Neurospora crassa OR74A: one gene and its partners. The protein of the gene in region 1 purifies or fractionates together with the protein of each later gene. This does not show direct contact. Links are inferred from orthologs where the notes say so. Each region holds a gene or a part of one and is shown in the gene's direction. Other genes may lie near its edges.

Region 1 (5,951 bases):
CTGAAAAACGGCTTCAATTTGTCCTTCAAATGGTTATAAGCCATGACGCCCTCAATGGCTCGCACCCGATCGATATTCCGCAAGGCCGACTCGCCTCTTTCGAGAACCGATCCCGACCCCTTGCTGCTGCTTCCGCCGCCGCCGCCGCCGTGTAGAGAGTGGGAGGGAGAGGAGGAGGAGGTTTCGGAAACGGGGGGTTCGTAGGTGTCTTCTTCTTCGAGGAGGTGGGGGTGCGGGATGAGGAGGGGGAAGCAGTGGGGGCAGTGGCACAGGAGGGAACGGAAGGAGGGGGTGGTGAAGAAGAGGGAGAAGGGGGAGTTTTGGGAGGTTTGGGAAGGTGGTGGGGGGAGGGAGGAGAGGAGGCAGGGTTTGGGGTTGGGATTGGGGTGGGGGGTTGTGGTGGAGGAGTCTGTGGTGGTGAGGGTTGTTGTGTTGGTGGTGGAGGTGATGGTGGAAGAGCCGTTGGTTGTGAGGGACTCGGTTGTAGTGATGGCGGTAGTCGTTGAATGGACGGTTTCATCGGTTTTGGGCTTCTTTTCTTGGGATTCCTCGATGTGTTCGTTGTCCTCGTCAGATGCTTTGCGCTTCTTAGATGAGGAATTGCCGTTGACTTTGAGTTCCGAGGTGGTACTAATGGTTTGCTCCTCCTTCTTCAGATAGACAGGCGGTAGGAATCCTTCAGTACCCGCGTATCTCTTGATCCAGGGGTACGCCTCGACGCACTTATAGCAGATGAATCCCTCAAAGTCGTCATCGGCAGGGAAGCCAGGCGGTGGAGGTGGGTCGTCGTCTTCGTCTTCGTCTTCCTCTGCCTCTTCGGCATGGGCGCCGTTCTGTTCTGTTGTCTCATCTTCCGCAATTGTAGGTAGGGCACCATTTTCGGTCTTAACCTCCGTCTTCAGCGCCGCAGACTTGGGCTTATCCTTCTTGTCCATCTTCTCAAACCAATCCGGACCCAAACCCACGATGCACCCAGGATGGTACCAATCCTCCCCACAACCACCCGTTTCTGCCGTGCCTAGGCCCAGACATTGAAACATGGTCCCCTTCTGCTCAAACGGGTCATAATCGCACTCGCAGCCGCAGAACCGATTCCGGAAGTTATGGTTGTACTTGTTGTTGACATCTGGTTCCTCCGAGTGCACGCCGCCCTTGGTGCCCGTCTCCTCATTGATGCGCAGGTTGCACGGGCTCGTGGGCGGGAAGCGTGTGGTACCGCAGTCGCAGGTGAAGTTGCGCTTGGCAAAGATCTCGACGAGAGTGTGCTCGCCGTGACACTGGACGGAGCAGGAGTAGCAGATGCCGGCCGCATTGTAGGGCGCTTTCGGGTCGGCGGGTGGTGGGTTGCAGGTCAGGCAGGAGAAGACGGCCTGGCGGAGGGGGCCGAGGGGCTTGGTGCAGGTTTCGATGCTCTGGTGGGAGGTTAGGATTGACTTTAAGGAAAAGGGCAGAGAAGACAAGGGACACGCACGTATGGAAGAGCTTCGCGAGCGTCGGCCTCTAGTTGCATTTGGTCGCGGATGAAGCTAGACCATGGTTAGTACTTTGTCATGTGGTAAGTCCAATATATGACAACATACTCTGCGGCAGTCTGAGAGTTTTCTGACTTGGCGGAGAAGCTTTCAGTACGAGTCTTGGTGAGCGCGACTGGTGCTGGAGCTCCATGGCCATCTGGAGTGGCCTCGGCGGGCTGTTGCGCCGGTTGAGGGTCCATGGGTGATGGATGCTTTCACGGTCAATCTTGGATGGTCGGTGGTCTATCAAAATTGTTGATAAGACAAATGCCTCGAGATGGTGCTGGATCACGAAAGATGGGTTCTGTCCGGAAGTCTTTAAAACAAAAAACAATTGCTGGGGCGCGAAGAGGAGGAGGAGGAGGGGGAGGAGGAGGAGGAGGGCGCGTTGGTGGAAGCGTGGGGAGAAGGACCGAGCTTGCAATGTACCCTTGGTTTGGTGTAAGGCACTGTGGTCTATATGTCCAAGCAGCACAGATTGGAATTGGGTTCAAGGAAACCTATTTGAACGTGATCCGATCAATAACATGGCCCTGTAGTATGTAGCACCTTATAGCTCATGCTTTGCTCGTCATTGTTCACTGGACTTTGAGCTTTTGTGACTTTTTGGGAATCTCGACGAGTCGAATTGGCGTGTAAGAGCAGCACCAAGTGGGTCCGGTACGCATTGCCAAGCCCATTAAACCTCAGCAACCACTTAACGCGACCGCCCTTATCCGGCTTAGCGCATCACGTCTGGCGCGTCTTCCCTGGACTGCAACGCGAGAAAAAAGCAGGGACAAGGTCGCCGCAACGAAGGGCAACATTCATTCAGTGGTTCCTCGACGCTGTTTGTCTCCATTCCCCTCCCCCCCCCCCCCCCCTTCTCTCTCTCTGTCTCACCCCGCAACATATCCTCTTTCTGGCTGGCATTCATTCTCCATAGTAACAACTAGGCCAGCATCCTCCACTCTCTTGTTTCTTCCATCTGTAGCTGGCTACAGTCCTCTGAGATACCCTCAGCCAAGTCGCAATCATGAGGTATGTGTGCCTCTTGCTCTTTCGTCTGTCACGGCTTCTCTTCGCAAGTAAACAGTGAATTAACGGAAACTCTCCAATACCAGTTCCCCGCTTCGCGACAACCCGTCCTCTGCCAACCGTGGCGCCGTTCCCAGGGCCACTCGCAAGCGTGCGCGTAACGATCACGATGGTGCTTCCTCGCTTCCCCGCGCTTCGAGCCCTGTCATGCCCTCTTCTCCTCCCGCCTTCCCAGTTGCCCATGGCGCAGATGAGGACGACGACATCGAGGAAGACGTCGCCGCTGAAATCGAAGACGACATTGACGACCTCGACGAGTTGGCCGAAGACGATGTAGATTTGTTCCGCGAAGGCTTCGAGCGCGATTATAGGGAACGAGACGAAAACGACGCCTACGAAGGAATTGACATCGACGATGACGAGTATGAGGCCCTCGACCCCGCCGCAAGGCGCCGTCTTGAAGCCAAGTTGGCCCAGAGAGACCGTCAAGTGAGGATGGGAATGGGCACCACGTATCTTCCTGGTGATGACGACGATGGTGATATCGACCTTACCAACCTGGAACGCCGCCGAAGAATCCGCTACAATGAAGACCCCGATGTCGATATGGATGGCGACATTATGGACTCGGAACTTCCCCTCGAGGCCCTGATGGATGTCAAGGCTGCCACTTTGAGCGAATGGATCTCAGTCCCGGCTGTACAAAAGACCATCCGCAGAGAGTTCAAGGCTTTCCTCACAGAATACACCGACGAGAGCGGTTCGTCCGTCTACGGCAACCGCATCCGTACTCTTGGTGAGATCAACGCCGAGTCTCTCGAGGTCTCCTACGAGCACCTCGCTACAGCCAAGGCCATTCTCGCATACTTCCTCGCCAATGCGCCAACCGAGATGCTCAAGCTCTTCGACGAGGTTGCCATGGAAGTCGTCCTTCTCCATTACCCCGACTACGAGCGCATTCACGCCGAGATCCACGTCCGTATCTTCGACCTTCCTATCCATTATACCCTCCGTCAGCTCCGCCAGTCGCACCTCAACTGTCTTGTGCGCGTGAGCGGTGTCGTCACCCGCCGCACCGGTGTCTTCCCCCAGCTCAAGTATGTCAAGTTCGACTGCACCAAGTGCGGCGTCACTCTCGGTCCCTTCCAGCAAGAGTCCAACGTCGAAGTCAAGATCTCTTACTGCCAGTCCTGCCAGTCTCGTGGCCCCTTCACCCTTAACTCCGAGAAGACCGTCTACCGCAACTACCAAAAGCTCACCCTCCAAGAATCCCCCGGCACCGTTCCCGCCGGTCGTCTGCCCCGTCACCGCGAGGTCATTCTCCTCTGGGACCTGATCGACAAGGCCAAGCCGGGCGAGGAGATCGAAGTAACGGGCATCTACCGCAACAACTACGACGCGCAGCTCAACAACCGCAACGGCTTCCCCGTCTTCGCCACCATCCTCGAAGCCAACAACATTGTCAAATCCCACGACCAGCTCGCCGGCTTCCGCATGACCGAGGAAGACGAGCACGAGATTCGCCGTCTCTCGCGCGACCCGCACATTGTCGACAAGATCATCAACTCCGTCGCCCCTTCCATCTACGGACACACCGACATCAAGACCGCCGTCGCCCTCTCCCTCTTCGGCGGCGTCGCCAAGCAAGTCGGCGCCCACCACATCCGCGGTGACATCAACGTGCTGCTCCTCGGCGACCCCGGTACCGCCAAATCACAAGTACTCAAGTACGCCGAAAAGACGGCCCACCGCGCCGTCTTCGCCACCGGCCAGGGTGCTTCCGCCGTCGGTCTGACGGCTTCCGTCCGGCGCGACCCGCTCACGTCCGAATGGACTCTCGAGGGCGGCGCCCTCGTCCTCGCCGACAAGGGCACCTGCCTGATCGACGAGTTCGACAAGATGAACGACCAGGACCGCACGTCCATCCACGAAGCCATGGAGCAGCAGACCATCTCTATCTCCAAAGCCGGTATCGTCACGACCCTGCAAGCCCGGTGCGGAATCATCGCCGCTGCTAACCCTATTGGCGGGCGGTACAACTCTACCATTCCCTTTTCTGCCAACGTGGAGCTTACCGAGCCGATTCTGTCTCGTTTCGACATCCTTTGCGTCGTGCGCGACACAGTCGAGCCTGAAGAAGATGAGCGGCTGGCGCGCTTCATTGTCGGGTCGCATTCGAGGAGTCATCCGTTGATGAACAACAACACGCAGGACGCTAGCGGTGGTGACTCCATGGAGGTTGAACACGATACCCAAGCTGCTGCGGAAACCCAACAAACTGGTGAACACGGCCGTAAAAAAGAGGGCGAAATCCCACAAGAGCTGTTGAGGAAGTATATCCTTTATGCCCGAGAGCGGTGCCAGCCAAAGTTGTATCACATGGATGAGGATAAGGTGGCGAGGCTGTTTGCGGATATGAGAAGGGAGAGTTTGGCGACGGGGGCTTATCCTATTACTGTAAGTTCTTCCCTCTTTCCTTTTTCCTTTTTTTTTTTTTTTTTTTTTTTTTTTTTTTTTTTTTTTTTTTTTTTTTTCTTTCTTCCTCCGTCACAAAATACAACACAATAACAACTGCTAACCTCACCCACCACCACCTTAGGTCCGTCACTTGGAAGCCATCATCCGCATCTCCGAAGCCTTCTGCCGCATGCGCCTTTCCGAGTACTGCTCCGCCCAGGACATTGACCGCGCTATCGCCGTGACCGTCGAGTCCTTTGTTGGCTCGCAAAAGGTCAGCTGCAAGAAGGCGCTTGCCAGGGCTTTTGCCAAGTACACGCTTAACAGGCCTGGTACTGGTAATAATGGCTCTGGGAGCGGCACCTCTCAGGGGAGGAGGGGCGGTGCTAGGAGGGGTGTGAGCGCTGCTGCTTGAGAGGTTCTGATGACTTTTTGAGGTATGTGGAGAGATATGAAATCATGCTTTTCGTGAAGGACCTGGGAAGATTACACGGTTGGGATTTGTTTGGGTCGCTTATGAACTTTGTGTAAAAAGGGCTTGATTAGAGCCGGAGTGGAGGCGTTGGGTATATCATCTTGTACGCTTGTTACGTATTGTGGATGGCATAGTGTCATATTTTCTTTCGGTTCAAGCGAAATAGAACCCCAAGTGATGAAACCAAAAACTGGCATTATCAGCAATCGTATTTGCCTCCACCTATCTACTATAGTGTCGTATCATTCCTTCATAACATCATAATGTAACTTTCCCTATTTTGTGATACGCTTGTCCCATCGTTACCACGCCAACAAGGCGAGAGCAACCAACCAATCTTCCATCTGATGCGTGTAAAACACCCACCGCCTCTTTCAAATACAGTCATTCAACTGTCCTTTCCTTCCCTCAAAACAATAGATAGACAATGCTACATCTCACAGCTTTAGTCCATACACACGTACGTCTATACGCGTAATGAAATACAA
Region 2 (5,956 bases), about 2.5 Mb from region 1:
CGGTAGTGGAGGGGTGGTTGAGGGTGTAGAAGCCTATTATGTGGGCGGGTTAATTTGGATTTGGAAGAGGCTAAAGGAAAAGAGGGGAAGGGAGAGAGAAAGAGAGAGTCAAGTGTAGTGAGATGAGACGTATAGGTGTGTTTGACAGGCAAAGTAGTGACGCAGTGAGGAGAGGGAGATGTTGTCCAAAAAGGACAGGAATTTTCGACGAAGCAAGGTAAAATGAAAACTGAAAGAAGAGATAACGACCGTTGAACAAGCAGAGGTAGGAAGAAAAAGCTGGATTGGATCTTGAACAAAGATGAACACAACAAATACTTACCAGCCCAGTTGACCTGGTTGCTCGGAGCCGGAAGAGACTTGAAAGCGTGCCAGAGAAGGGCAGCGCAGTTGGACAAATTGCTATTTTTTAAAGAGTACATTAGCACTACAATGAGGATCTTGTACGTTCCATCTGTTGTTTTCAGGACGGACCATCCCGAGAAGGGGCTGTAGGGTACATGTGGGAGCCAACGTCGACTTACCAAACCTAACGAATGTCAATCATTCAGGTCACCTTTTTAGACATTGTCCCTTCCTGATGTGGTGGTGCAAGCAGGCTTGGTTCCTCATCTTACCCAGTTCCTCTGCTCATAGAACAGACCTTCAGCTTGGTCAAGAACCTGCTGGTAGGCCTCTTCCTTGGTGACGTTGGCAGCAAAGTTGGAAGCGTCGGCGTGAACCTATAAGACGAATACCGTGTTAGTCTCAACCGTCCTCAAGTTTGGAGAAGCCTGTAGTTCGTAGGTAGGTATGCGCGATGAGGTCTTCAACTGTCTCGAAACAAAGGATTGGACTGATTGAAACTGTTCACGAACCATTTTGACGTATTATTATGACCCTGTTCTTTCTATGTACAAATCTTGAAAATCGACCTAGAGTGGTGGTGTTGGACACCGAGGAAGCGAACTTCAACTTTTGAAATTTGTCATTCACTTCTGAATCCGGGGAAGTGGGGCCAAATGGCACTGCTCCGGTCGGGTCCGTGCGGAACTGCCGCCGTACCGGCAGCCGATGGGCCGGCCCCGAGTGGCCTCCGGTGGATTCACGGTTTCGATCCCAAAGAGGACCGGACTGAATCACCAGCCGGATAAAGGAATCCAAGATAATTGTGCGGATACTTACTAGATGGTGTGGGAGGCTCGTCCTCGCTTCATACTGGGCAGGATACAGCTCAAGGGCCCTTCTCGGAAGTTGTGCTGATGGCAGCTTGTCTTCTATTAGTGATCTGGACCTTATGATGTGCTGTCTAAGTTACCCGAACCAAGGTCCAGAAGATGCCCAAATGGTTGTCGAGACGGCAGCGGGAACTACTTATTTTTGCAGTACAGCAGCTCGCTTTGCAGTGAACGTCAAATCACGGACAAGTGATTGGTTCGATGGGCACAGTTCGTCGTCTTCCACCATTCAGTAAAGTTTCCCGTCGGGCAGATGTTAGCCAATTTTTCCATCTCATGGCGGTATCTTCCAGAATGCCGATCTATCAAGTATAGATGTGAAACATCACAGGTTTTCCGAGCGGCATCTTGGACATTGCTCTTTGCACTTGTACGCGGTGTCTGGGCCCGTCGAGTCTATTCTTGAAGATAGTGTTGCTGTCGTTTCGCACAGTGATTGCCATCACTCGTTCATTTATTCATTCAGGTTGACATGGGTATCAGCTCTAGGTTGATCGCTGCTGAGGACGTTCTTTGCGTCGAAGTAAAGAAAGGTGAGTTCTGGTTAGTACGTCTACTAGTATTTAAATGGAAGAAGTTCGGCACCCCAGAGCTTCCATCGCTTGCCAAGACTTAGTTTAATCGTACCTGTGCATTGGAAACTTAGCTCCACCCCTCCCGTCCCTCTGTTTCCATTCCACGCCCTGTCCCGCCTGTCCCTCTTTCATCTCCATGCACTCGCTGCAGGGCACCTAAAGAAAGAGGTACAAGTTCGACTTACAAAGTTAACAGAATCGCAAGTTGTTGGAAGTCCCGACGACACCATTTACGCTCGTCTATTTCCATCATTCATCAATATACTTCTCTACGATTCCCATACTACAGACCTTTCAGGAATATCACCATTGCCGTGGCAACCAGCATATATAGTTGCCTCAGGCACAGAACAGAACCTCTTAGGCATCCTAACGCGAAGGCAGTGGACAGGGGCGCCAAGAGCTGTGGCCCGTGACGTGAGCGACGCGCGACACGGGAATTTTTGTGTCTTTGGCCTGGAACCGGATCCCGGCTGGCAAGCACTGTAAAGTACTAGCAGTGCCGGCTGGAGAGGTGTGGTAGCCTTGTTTCTGTCATCTTGAAGGGTGTCTGCCGCCACCGTCAGTACCAGAGCAAGCAGCCCCTCGCCAAAAGCACGACTTCACCCAAACCCAAACCTCTGCTGATTTGATTGTTTCTGCCATCTTCAATCGCGCGCCGCTGTGCCGTCGCTCATCATGGCAGACATCAAAATCGACAGCAAGGTCTTCCAGGAGCGCGTCTCGCACTTCTACAATGCCTGGAAGGCCGACAAGCGCTCCGGAGACGCTCTCTTCGGTGGCGTCTCTTCCATCGTCATCCTGATGGGCAAGGTCGACGAGAACCCCGAGTTTCACAAGAACAACGCTATCCATGTGAGTTTTGCCCTCTGGAGAGCCCGCTCGGCGTGCGCTGGCTGTACGTCTGGCGGGCCATTCCAGTCAAATGACAGCTGCTGATAGCTCTACGTAAAGTTCTGGCTGCTAGGTTACGAGTTCCCGACGACCCTCATGCTGTTTACCCTCGACACCATCTACATTCTCACCACCCAAAAGAAAGGTTCGCCCGGTATTCCCGACCCAAGAACGCGGACAAACTATCTGACACGTTAATAGCCAAGTACCTCGACCAAGTGAAGGGCGGCAGATACCCCGTTGAGGTCCTCGTGCGGGGGAAGGACGCCGCCGAGAACGAGAAGCTTTTCATCAAAATTACGGATGCCATCAAGGCTGCGGGCGTAAGTTACATCCCATCCTGGGCGCACATCAACATCTCGGTGCGGTTCTAACACATTTTCGCTCGTTATAGAAGAAGGTTGGCGTCCTTACCAAGGACACCTCCAAGGGCCCCTTTATCGACGAATGGAAGAAGGTCTATGCCGATAACTGCAAGGATGTGGAGGAGGTTGACGTTGCCCAGGCTCTGTCTGCTGGCGCCTTCTCCGTCAAGGATGAGACCGAGCTTCGTGCCATGCGGACCTCGTCCAAGGCTTGCGTCGCCCTCCTGACCCCTTACTTCCTCGACGAAATGTCCAATATCCTCGACCAAGATAAGAAGATCAAGCACAGCGCACTAGCCGATAAGGTCTTCAACAAACTGGAAGACGATAAGTTTTGGAAGACCGTCGAGCTGCCCAACCGACAGAAGCTCCCGGCTGACCTCGATCCCGAGCAGCTGGACTGGATTCTGGGACCGATCGTCCAAAGTGGTGGCAAATTTGACCTGAAGTGGCAGGCTGATTCTGACAATGATATACTCCACCCGGGAATTATCATCGCGGCTATGGGTCTCAGATACAAGTCCTATTGCTCCCAAATCGCCAGAACTTTCATGGTCGATCCCAACAAGTCCCAAGAAAGCAACTACAAGTTCCTACTTGCTGTCCACAACCTCATTCTCAAGGAGATCCGGGATGGTGCCATTGTCAAGGATGTTTACACCAAGGCCTACAACTTTGTGCGGTCCAAAAAGCCCGATCTTGAGAAGCACTTTCTTAAGAACGTCGGCTTTGGAATCGGCCTGGAGAACAAGGACCCGACCTTGATTCTCAACAACAAGAACACCCGTACCCTTAAGGATGGCATGACACTGGTTGTGACCACCGGCTTCAGTGATATCCAGAACCCCAACCCCCAAGACAAGAACAGCAAGGTCTATTCCTTGATCCTTTCCGATACGATCCGTGTCACTAGCTCCGAGCCGGTGGTGTTTACTGGCGAGGCGCCTGTCGATGTTGATGCCACCTCGTTCTTCTTCAAAGATGAGGAAGAAGCACAGCCCACACCGAAAAAGGAGAAGCGGGACTCTAGGGTGGGTGCCGTTGCAACCAAGAACATCACTAGCACTCGTCTACGCTCTGAGCGTAATACAACGGTAGATGAGGACGCGGACAAGAGACGTCGCGAGCATCAGAAGGAACTCGCGCAGAAGAAACAGAAGGAAGGCTTGGCCAAATACGCCGAATCTACCGCTGATGAGAATGGCGTCGAAATCAAAAAGTTCAAGCGCTTCGAATCTTACAAGCGGGATAATCAATTCCCGCCCAAGGTTAAGGATATGGGCATCGTTATTGATCAAAAGAACGCGACCATAGTACTGCCTGTTATGGGCAGGCCGGTACCCTTCCATATCAACACCATCAAGAACGCAAGCAAGAGTGACGAGGGCGAGTGGTCATTCTTGAGAATCAACTTCCTATCTCCTGGCCAGGGTGTGGGTCGGAAGGATGAGCAGCCCTTCGAAGATGCATCTGCGCACTTCGTCAGGAGCTTGACTTTCAAATCAACCGATGGCGATAGGTATGCTGACATTGCAAACCAAATCTCGAACCTCAAACGAGACGCTGTCAAGAAGGAGCAGGAGAAGAAGGATATGGAGGACGTAGTTGAGCAGGACAAGCTCGTTGAAATCAGAAGTAAGTCGCTTTCCCGGATCAATTGTATTGCAACATACTAATTAACTATCAGACCGTCGGCCCGCCGTATTGGATAATGTCTTCATCCGGCCGGCCATGGAGGGCAAGCGTGTGCCTGGTAAGGTGGAAATTCACCAGAACGGTATTCGCTACCAGTCACCTCTCAGCACAACGCAACGCGTGGATATCCTCTTTTCCAACGTTCGCCACCTTTTCTTCCAACCATGTCAGCACGAGTTGATTGTGATCATCCACATCCACCTCAAGGATCCCATTATCATTGGAAACAAGAAGAAGACGAAGGATGTCCAATTCTACAGGGAAGCCACCGACATCCAGTTCGACGAGACCGGCAATCGGAAGCGCAAGTATCGTTATGGTGATGAGGATGAGTTCGAGGCTGAACAGGAGGAACGCCGGCGCCGCGCAGAGCTGGATCGCCTGTTCAAGTCGTTCGCGGAAAAGATTGCCGAGGCGGGCCGCAACGAAGGCATTGAGGTGGACATGCCACTCCGCGACCTTGGTTTCAACGGTGTACCGTTCCGCAGTAACGTGTACATCCAGCCCACCACGGAGTGTCTCATCCAGATCACCGAACCTCCATTCATGGTTATCACCCTTGAGGACATTGAAGTCGCACATCTGGAACGTGTTCAGTTTGGTCTCAAAAACTTTGATCTGGTGTTTGTCTTCAAGGACTTCACGAGGCCACCATACCACATCAACACCATTCCTGTCGAGTCTTTGGAAGACGTCAAGGAGTTCCTTGACTCGTCTGACATTGCCTTCTCAGAGGGTCCTCTCAACCTCAACTGGGGTGTCATCATGAAAACGGTCACTGCCAATACCCACCAATTTTTCTTGGATGGTGGCTGGGGCTTCCTGCAGAACGACAGCGACGACGACGAAGTGGAGGAGGAGGAAGAGGAGAGCGCCTTCGAAATTGACGAGAGCGAATTGGAGGACGCTTCCGAGTCTAGCGAAGAGGATTCCGAATACGACTCCAACGCCTCGGAGGAGGCCAGCGATGAGGCGGAAGACAGCGAGGAGGAGGAGGGCGAGGATTGGGATGAGCTGGAGAGGAAGGCTAAGAAGCGTGACAGGGAGAGCGGCTTCGACGACGAGGAGGAACGTGCGGCACCCAAGAAGCGGAGAAAGTAGACTGATTAGACCCGGTCTTCGTTCGCTTGAGCTCTTCTCGCGATATGACAAGGTTAATCGGTTGACATTTATTTTCCTTGTGAGTTTGCATATCTTGGGAAAAGGGTTT
Region 3 (5,926 bases), about 3.8 Mb from region 1:
CCACTCTGCGCCACTTCTTCCAGGCTTCATCACCAAGGCCTAGAGTGCACACCGGCCAGTCGCTGCCAAACATGATGCGTTCGGGCCCAAAGGCGGCTATCACCACAGCAAGCCAGGGTAGGATAGCAGAGAGAATTTCCTCGGCCGGGCGAGCCCTCAAAAACTCGGGCATCTCGCTGAAGCAGCCGCTCAGTTTCATGTAGGTACGGTCGCACTTGCTGAGAGTAAACATGGCGGTGCGCCAGGCGATGTATGAGGGATCCGTTTGTACATTGACGATGGTTAGATCTGGCTTGCAAAGGTGGTCTGAGATGAGAACCATCAGTTAGCAAGCAAATCATGCAGAATGTGTCAAGGTAAAAACTTACTCAGGATAAATACCACTTTGTCCTCCTCGTCCACACCTTCGTGTGCACGGTCGATCATTTCTACCGCCTCCTCCAGTTGGATTCTCCCTCTTTTGTGCTGGTCAACACCCAGGTCAAAGACGAACTTCTTTCTGCCAAGCAGCTTCAGGCCCTCGATAAAATCGTCACTTAGGGCTGTTCCGTTGGGCTTATCTTGCAGCAAGTAGCGGAAACCCTTCACCTTGGCCCATGTTTCAGGCCCGGCTTCCTTTTCCGCAGCTGCGAGATACTTTTCCAACTCGGCAGAGCCCAATACAACCGGCGCCCACGGCACAATTCCGAGACAATCACGGCCATCGTCAGCCGTGTGGCCCTCGCCAGGCTTCGGTTGGCCGGTTACGATGCGGCGAAGCCATGCGATCTCTTGTAGGGGGTAAGTCCAATCCTTAGCATTGTCGTTCTTGCGGTCGACCTCAATTGCGACGTAGCCCTGAAGATTGCCAGGCGCACCGGTGGCGGTCTGGTATTCCTGGATGGAGTGCTGCTTGGCGAGAGGATTGTCTTCAGCGTACCACTGGTGGGATTCTACCTCGGACTGGGGATAGAGGTGCACATGGGTGTCGATGATGGGAACGGAAACGGCGGGAGATGATGCCATTTTGATCAGGCCGTTATCGAGCTCGAGTTTGGTAAAGCGACGGATATGTTTGGCAAGAAAGTAAGGTATCCAGTGATAGAGAAAGAGAAGGAGACAAGCGAAGCAAGCAAAGTCAGAGATGACAGGAAGTAGGAAGGTCAGGACGTCGAAGCGGTGTACCGTCCTGCAGGCAGACCAACGCTGAACACACAAAAGTAGAGGTATGGATGGGATGTAACTGAGGCAACGGGGGAACTTCCAATCGAGCCTTCTCCTTCTTATATTTTGTATTCGTTTTAGCATAGGCAGGCACGCGCTACAGTACGAGGAGAGTACCTCGATGGTCAGGAGGGGGTGGGAGATGGGATCGACACAGACAGCCAGGAACCACGACGAGGTGGGGTACGTTCGGCATGCAAAGGGCAGGCCCAAGACGGGACAATTCACACCGAAAGATTCAAAGATAGGGTTCCTGATCAAGAATGGTTACCTCCCGTCTTCGGTTTCCATTTCCTTGAGGAACCCAAGGTCCTTTTCCCTTTCGTCTTCCTACAGCACCGGAAGAAAGATACCCTTGTTATGTACAGTCATCACATGATTGTGCGAATATATTAGCAAAAAGGGTTCTATCTGCAAGACCTGACAGAGAAATCATGACATGTTCCAAAAGCTTAAGAAGTGAACGAGGCCAAGAGGGAAGTTGAGCCCCTGGAACTTGCTGAAGTTGAGCTCTCGGGTGGGGTTTGATGTGGAGATATGGGGTTGGCGGGCAACTGCCATGCTTGTCAGAAGCGCTTGGCAGCAACACTCCCCGGCAAACGCAAACTACACGCGCTATACAAACTGGGGCCCTCCGCACGGACCGTGGATGCCTAGCAATTAAACTCTTGCCCCTCCTCGACGCGCTGCCAAACGCGTCGCTGCTGCAGTCCATTGTTTGTGTGAAATTTCCCCTCCAGACCACCATCATCATCAGTCCAACACACTCGATCCATCCGTATCTTGTCGGATCTTTCTTGACTTCTGCGCCCCAATCCTTGCATCTTCGAACACGACTCACGCATAAATCAACCTCAAAAACAACATCGAGAACGTCTCCACGGGCTTGACGCCAACACTACCCAACCAACATGGCGGGTCAAATCACACAGGGCGCTCTGGAGTAGGTTTCTTCACGTGTGCTTCCATCCAGTAGTATGACAGACTCTGACTTCTTGCTATAGCGCCATGTTCAATGATCCCGATCGCGCACAACAACAGTTCCCTGTCCCCATCCTTCAATGTCTCCAGATCAAGACCCTCGACTCCAAGAATGGGGGCGCGGGCGCCACGGAGAGGTTCCGCATTGTGCTGAGCGACCTCAAGAACTATGTCCAATGTATGATGGCCACGCAAACAAACCATCTTGTTCACGATGGCCTCCTGCAACGCGGCTGCATCGTGCGCTTGAAGCAGTATCAAGCTCAATGTCTCAAGGGCAAAAAGTACGCCTATCTACCCCTCCGCCAATTCGGGAAATCCATAACACTGACTGTTTAAATCCAGCATCTTGATTGTCCTCGATCTCGAAGTTATCCAGTCCCTTGGCTGTCCCGAAAAGATGGGCGATCCACAGCCTCTTGGCCCCCGCAGTGCAGAACCACAGCAGAACCCCAATCTCGGCAGCACCGGCTTCTATGGCGTCAAGAGCGAACCTACCCAAGACACGAAACCACAGTTTCCACGCCAGATGCCCTCGCGTAATGCCAGCGGGGGTCAGGGATCAAGCACGATATATCCTATTGAAGGTCTCTCGCCCTTCTCGCACAAATGGACCATCAAGGCCAGAGTCACCTCCAAGTCCGATATCAAGACCTGGCACAAGGCTAGCGGCGAGGGCAAGCTCTTCAGCGTCAACTTTCTTGACGAGAGTGGCGAAATTAGAGCAACAGGATTCAACGACCAAGTCGACCAGTTCTATGATTTGCTACAGGAGGGTCAGGTTTACTACATTTCTACACCTTGCAGGGTACAGCTTGCCAAGAAGCAATGGTCGAATCTCCCCAATGACTACGAGCTCACCTTTGAGCGGGATACCGTGATCGAAAAGGCCGAAGACCAGACATCTGTACCACAGGTACGCTTCAACTTTGTCAACATCCAGGAGCTTCAGGATGTTGAGAGGGATGCGACTGTCGATATTATTGGTGTCCTCAAGGAGGTCCAAGAGGTGACCCAGATTGTATCCAAGACCACACAGAAGCCGTACGACAAGCGCGAGCTGACCCTTGTTGACAACACTGGGTACTCGGTACGTTGTACCATCTGGGGTAAGACGGCCACGAACTTTGATGCTCAGCCTGAATCCATTGTGGCCTTCAAGGGCACAAAGGTCAGCGATTTCGGTGGACGCAGCTTGTCCCTGCTTTCGTCTGGCACCATGGCCATCGATCCGGATATTCCAGAGGCCCATCATCTCAAGGGCTGGTATGATAGCAGCGGCAGGAACAACACCTTCGCCACCCACAACAACATGCAGACCTTGGGTGGTGCGACCGGTCGCAAGGACGACGCCAAGACCATCTCACAAGTAAAGGAAGAGAACCTTGGCACAAACGAGGCGCCGGATTACTTCGCTCTCAAGGCAACGGTTGTATTCATCAAGCAGGATAACTTTGCCTACCCTGGGTGCCGAAGCGAAGGCTGTAACAGGAAGGTCACAGATATGGGTGATGGTACCTGGCGCTGCGAGAAGTGCCAGATCAACCACGATAGACCTCAGTACCGTTACATTATGAGCGTCAACGTCAACGACCACACAGGTCAACTTTGGCTTAGCTGCTTCGACGATACGGCGCGGGTCATCATGGGCAAGTCGGCCGATGAACTTATGGAGATTCGAGAGACCGACGAGACGCGGTTGCCCGCCGAGTTTGAGCAGGCCAACTGCCGCAAGCTGAACTTTAGGTGCAGGGCGAAGATGGACACATTTGGTGAACAGCAGAGGTACGTATCGGGGGTTATTCTCACGATTAGATGGACGTTGCTGACACATTGCTTGTTGCAGGATTCGATACCAGGTCATGAGCGTGGCGCCCCTTGACTACAAGATGGAAGGAAACAAGCTTAACGAGCTCATCAATTCTTACAACCAAATGAGCATGTAAAGGGGAGGGTGGGGTTTGTTCACTTATGCGAGGAACTAGATGATGTATATGGTTAATGAACACGTGTTTGTATTTTCGGGCATGTGGTCTCAAGGATGAACGATATGGGCATCACTGGCCTATCGACTGAAAGATGATTTGCAGTTTCATGATGGACTGGGATGGTTAAGAGCTGTGATGGGCCGAACCCTAACAGAACTTTGTTGGCGTGGCAGCAAATTTCGGCATGATTGCAGACTTGAATAGGTCTCTCAAGCGTTATCTTGGAGTTGAGACACTAGGAGACCTTCCTGTTCGAGTTATCTTCGATAACATGCCGAGGTAAGTACACACGCTTCGTTGACTAGAAGAAAGCTCCAGAGCTGGTCAAGGTCGGATCAGGGCGGTCCTTGCAATGTAATACGCACCTTTCGGGCTCAATATCCACATGGCAATCCGATCATCTCATCCGTTATCGGCCTTCTTCACCCTCTCGTATTCTCAAACTCTTCTATGCTTCAGCTTTTTCACGCAAAGAACCCGTGGCACAGCCTTTCCTGGTCATCTTTCTTCACTTTCCAACTTCCGTTATGTGAATAGGCACCCCGGCTCCGGTCTCTATGCGGACTGTTTAGCTGCTCGATACCGTATCGGCACTTATCGATTACGCAGATGGATGACAGGAACCTAAACGCCGTATCTTCCTTATCGGCCGTCGTCGGGATCCCCTGCCGTGACTCCACATATCCGCCGTCCAGACCCGCCCCCGCTCCGTTCCCTCGGGCCCCCCACTTTCGATGTAGCGGGAAGCTGACACCGAGTTCTAGAACAAAAGACTATTGAAATCACGTTTGAACCGTATTCGTGTCAGCACTAAGACCAAGTTAAACCTTTATCTTTGCTCATACTTCTCTATCCCATTCAGTGTCTTCTTGTTGTCTACTTACACTCATCACCTTCCACCAACATCAACAACAAAGTGACAAGCTTCAACCTCTCAAACCTCCAACGAAATGGCCGACCCCAGCACCACCCCTCCCCTTACCCGTGCCTCCGTCCTCGCCGCTCACTCCCTCATAAAGCCCTACATTCACGAGACGCCCGTGCTTACGAATACCACTTTCGACCAACTCGCTTCCACCCCTCGTACTCCCGAAGAGCTGCAAGGAACGGAATGGGAGGCTACCGAAAGACCGGCGAACCCAAAGATTCGGTTCTGGTTCAAGTGCGAGAATTTCCAGCGGATTGGCGCGTTCAAGGCTAGAGGAGCGTTTCATGCTGTGGAGAGGTTGAAGCAAACTGAGGGGTTAGAGGGGTTGAAGAAGGGCGGAGTAGTGACGCATAGTTCTGGTTTGTGAATTTCCGCTTTTTTTTTTTTTTTTTTTTTTTTTTTTTTTTTTTTTTTTTTTTTTTTTTTTTTTTTTTTTTTCTTTTAATCTGGATATGATGAGGTGATATCAGTATTGAGAGAAATGAGATTGTGAAGATGTGAAGTTTTTTTGAAGGCTTTGAAATAGGTTGAGTTGTCTGAATTGTCTTCTGAGATGTGATGAGAGTTGTCGATGTGTTCAAGACGTAGTAGCTACGTGAAGACCCAAACTGACGTGACAACGAACTAAAAGGTAACCACGCCCAAGCCCTTTCCCTCGCTGCCCGCGAGAACGGCATCCCGGCGCACATCGTTATGCCTACCATCTCGCCTCCGCCCAAGATCGCTGCCACCAAGGGTTACGGCGCCAACATAACCTTTAGCGGAAGCACGAGTACCGAGCGTGAAGCAGTTACAAGGGAGGTGATTGAGAAGACGGGTGCGAGGC

Evidence for each region.
Region 2: the proteins of NCU04327 (region 1) and NCU01164 purify together in Saccharomyces cerevisiae (affinity purification with mass spectrometry; 4 studies listed by BioGRID, with this or other methods). This does not show direct contact. The link is inferred for Neurospora crassa OR74A from reciprocal best matches to the Saccharomyces cerevisiae genes MCM2 and SPT16.
Region 3: the proteins of NCU04327 (region 1) and rpa-1 purify together in Saccharomyces cerevisiae (affinity purification with western blotting; 4 studies listed by BioGRID). This does not show direct contact. The link is inferred for Neurospora crassa OR74A from reciprocal best matches to the Saccharomyces cerevisiae genes MCM2 and RFA1.

The regions. Positions count from the first base shown.
Region 1 is NC_026505.1:5,630,138-5,636,088, reverse strand, and holds NCU04327 (DNA replication licensing factor mcm2), read left to right. Parts: upstream 1-2,377; 5' UTR 2,378-2,529; coding exon 2,530-2,534; intron 2,535-2,617; coding exon 2,618-4,988; intron 4,989-5,130; coding exon 5,131-5,403; 3' UTR 5,404-5,664; downstream 5,665-5,951. Other genes in the region: NCU04328 (metaphase-anaphase transition protein), read right to left, coding at 1-1,412, 1,472-1,526, 1,581-1,714. UniProt on the Saccharomyces cerevisiae protein: Acts as a component of the MCM2-7 complex (MCM complex) which is the putative replicative helicase essential for 'once per cell cycle' DNA replication initiation and elongation in eukaryotic cells.
Region 2 is NC_026505.1:3,095,236-3,101,191, forward strand, and holds the start of NCU01164 (transcription elongation complex subunit), read left to right. Parts: upstream 1-1,907; 5' UTR 1,908-2,470; coding exon 2,471-2,647; intron 2,648-2,746; coding exon 2,747-2,831; intron 2,832-2,887; coding exon 2,888-3,009; intron 3,010-3,080; coding exon 3,081-4,686; intron 4,687-4,738; coding exon 4,739-5,847; 3' UTR 5,848-5,956. Other genes in the region: NCU01163 (GAF domain nucleotide-binding protein), read right to left, coding at 1-33, 323-402, 525-529, 618-722, 858-860. UniProt on the Saccharomyces cerevisiae protein: Component of the FACT complex, a general chromatin factor that acts to reorganize nucleosomes. The FACT complex is involved in multiple processes that require DNA as a template such as mRNA elongation, DNA replication and DNA repair.
Region 3 is NC_026505.1:1,821,652-1,827,577, forward strand, and holds rpa-1 (replication factor-A protein 1), read left to right. Parts: upstream 1-1,877; 5' UTR 1,878-2,114; coding exon 2,115-2,146; intron 2,147-2,207; coding exon 2,208-2,468; intron 2,469-2,529; coding exon 2,530-3,969; intron 3,970-4,030; coding exon 4,031-4,130; 3' UTR 4,131-4,557; downstream 4,558-5,926. Other genes in the region: NCU03605 (amidohydrolase), read right to left, coding at 1-306, 369-1,287; NCU03607 (threonine dehydratase catabolic), read left to right, coding at 5,123-5,459, 5,732-5,926. UniProt on the Saccharomyces cerevisiae protein: As part of the replication protein A (RPA/RP-A), a single-stranded DNA-binding heterotrimeric complex, may play an essential role in DNA replication, recombination and repair.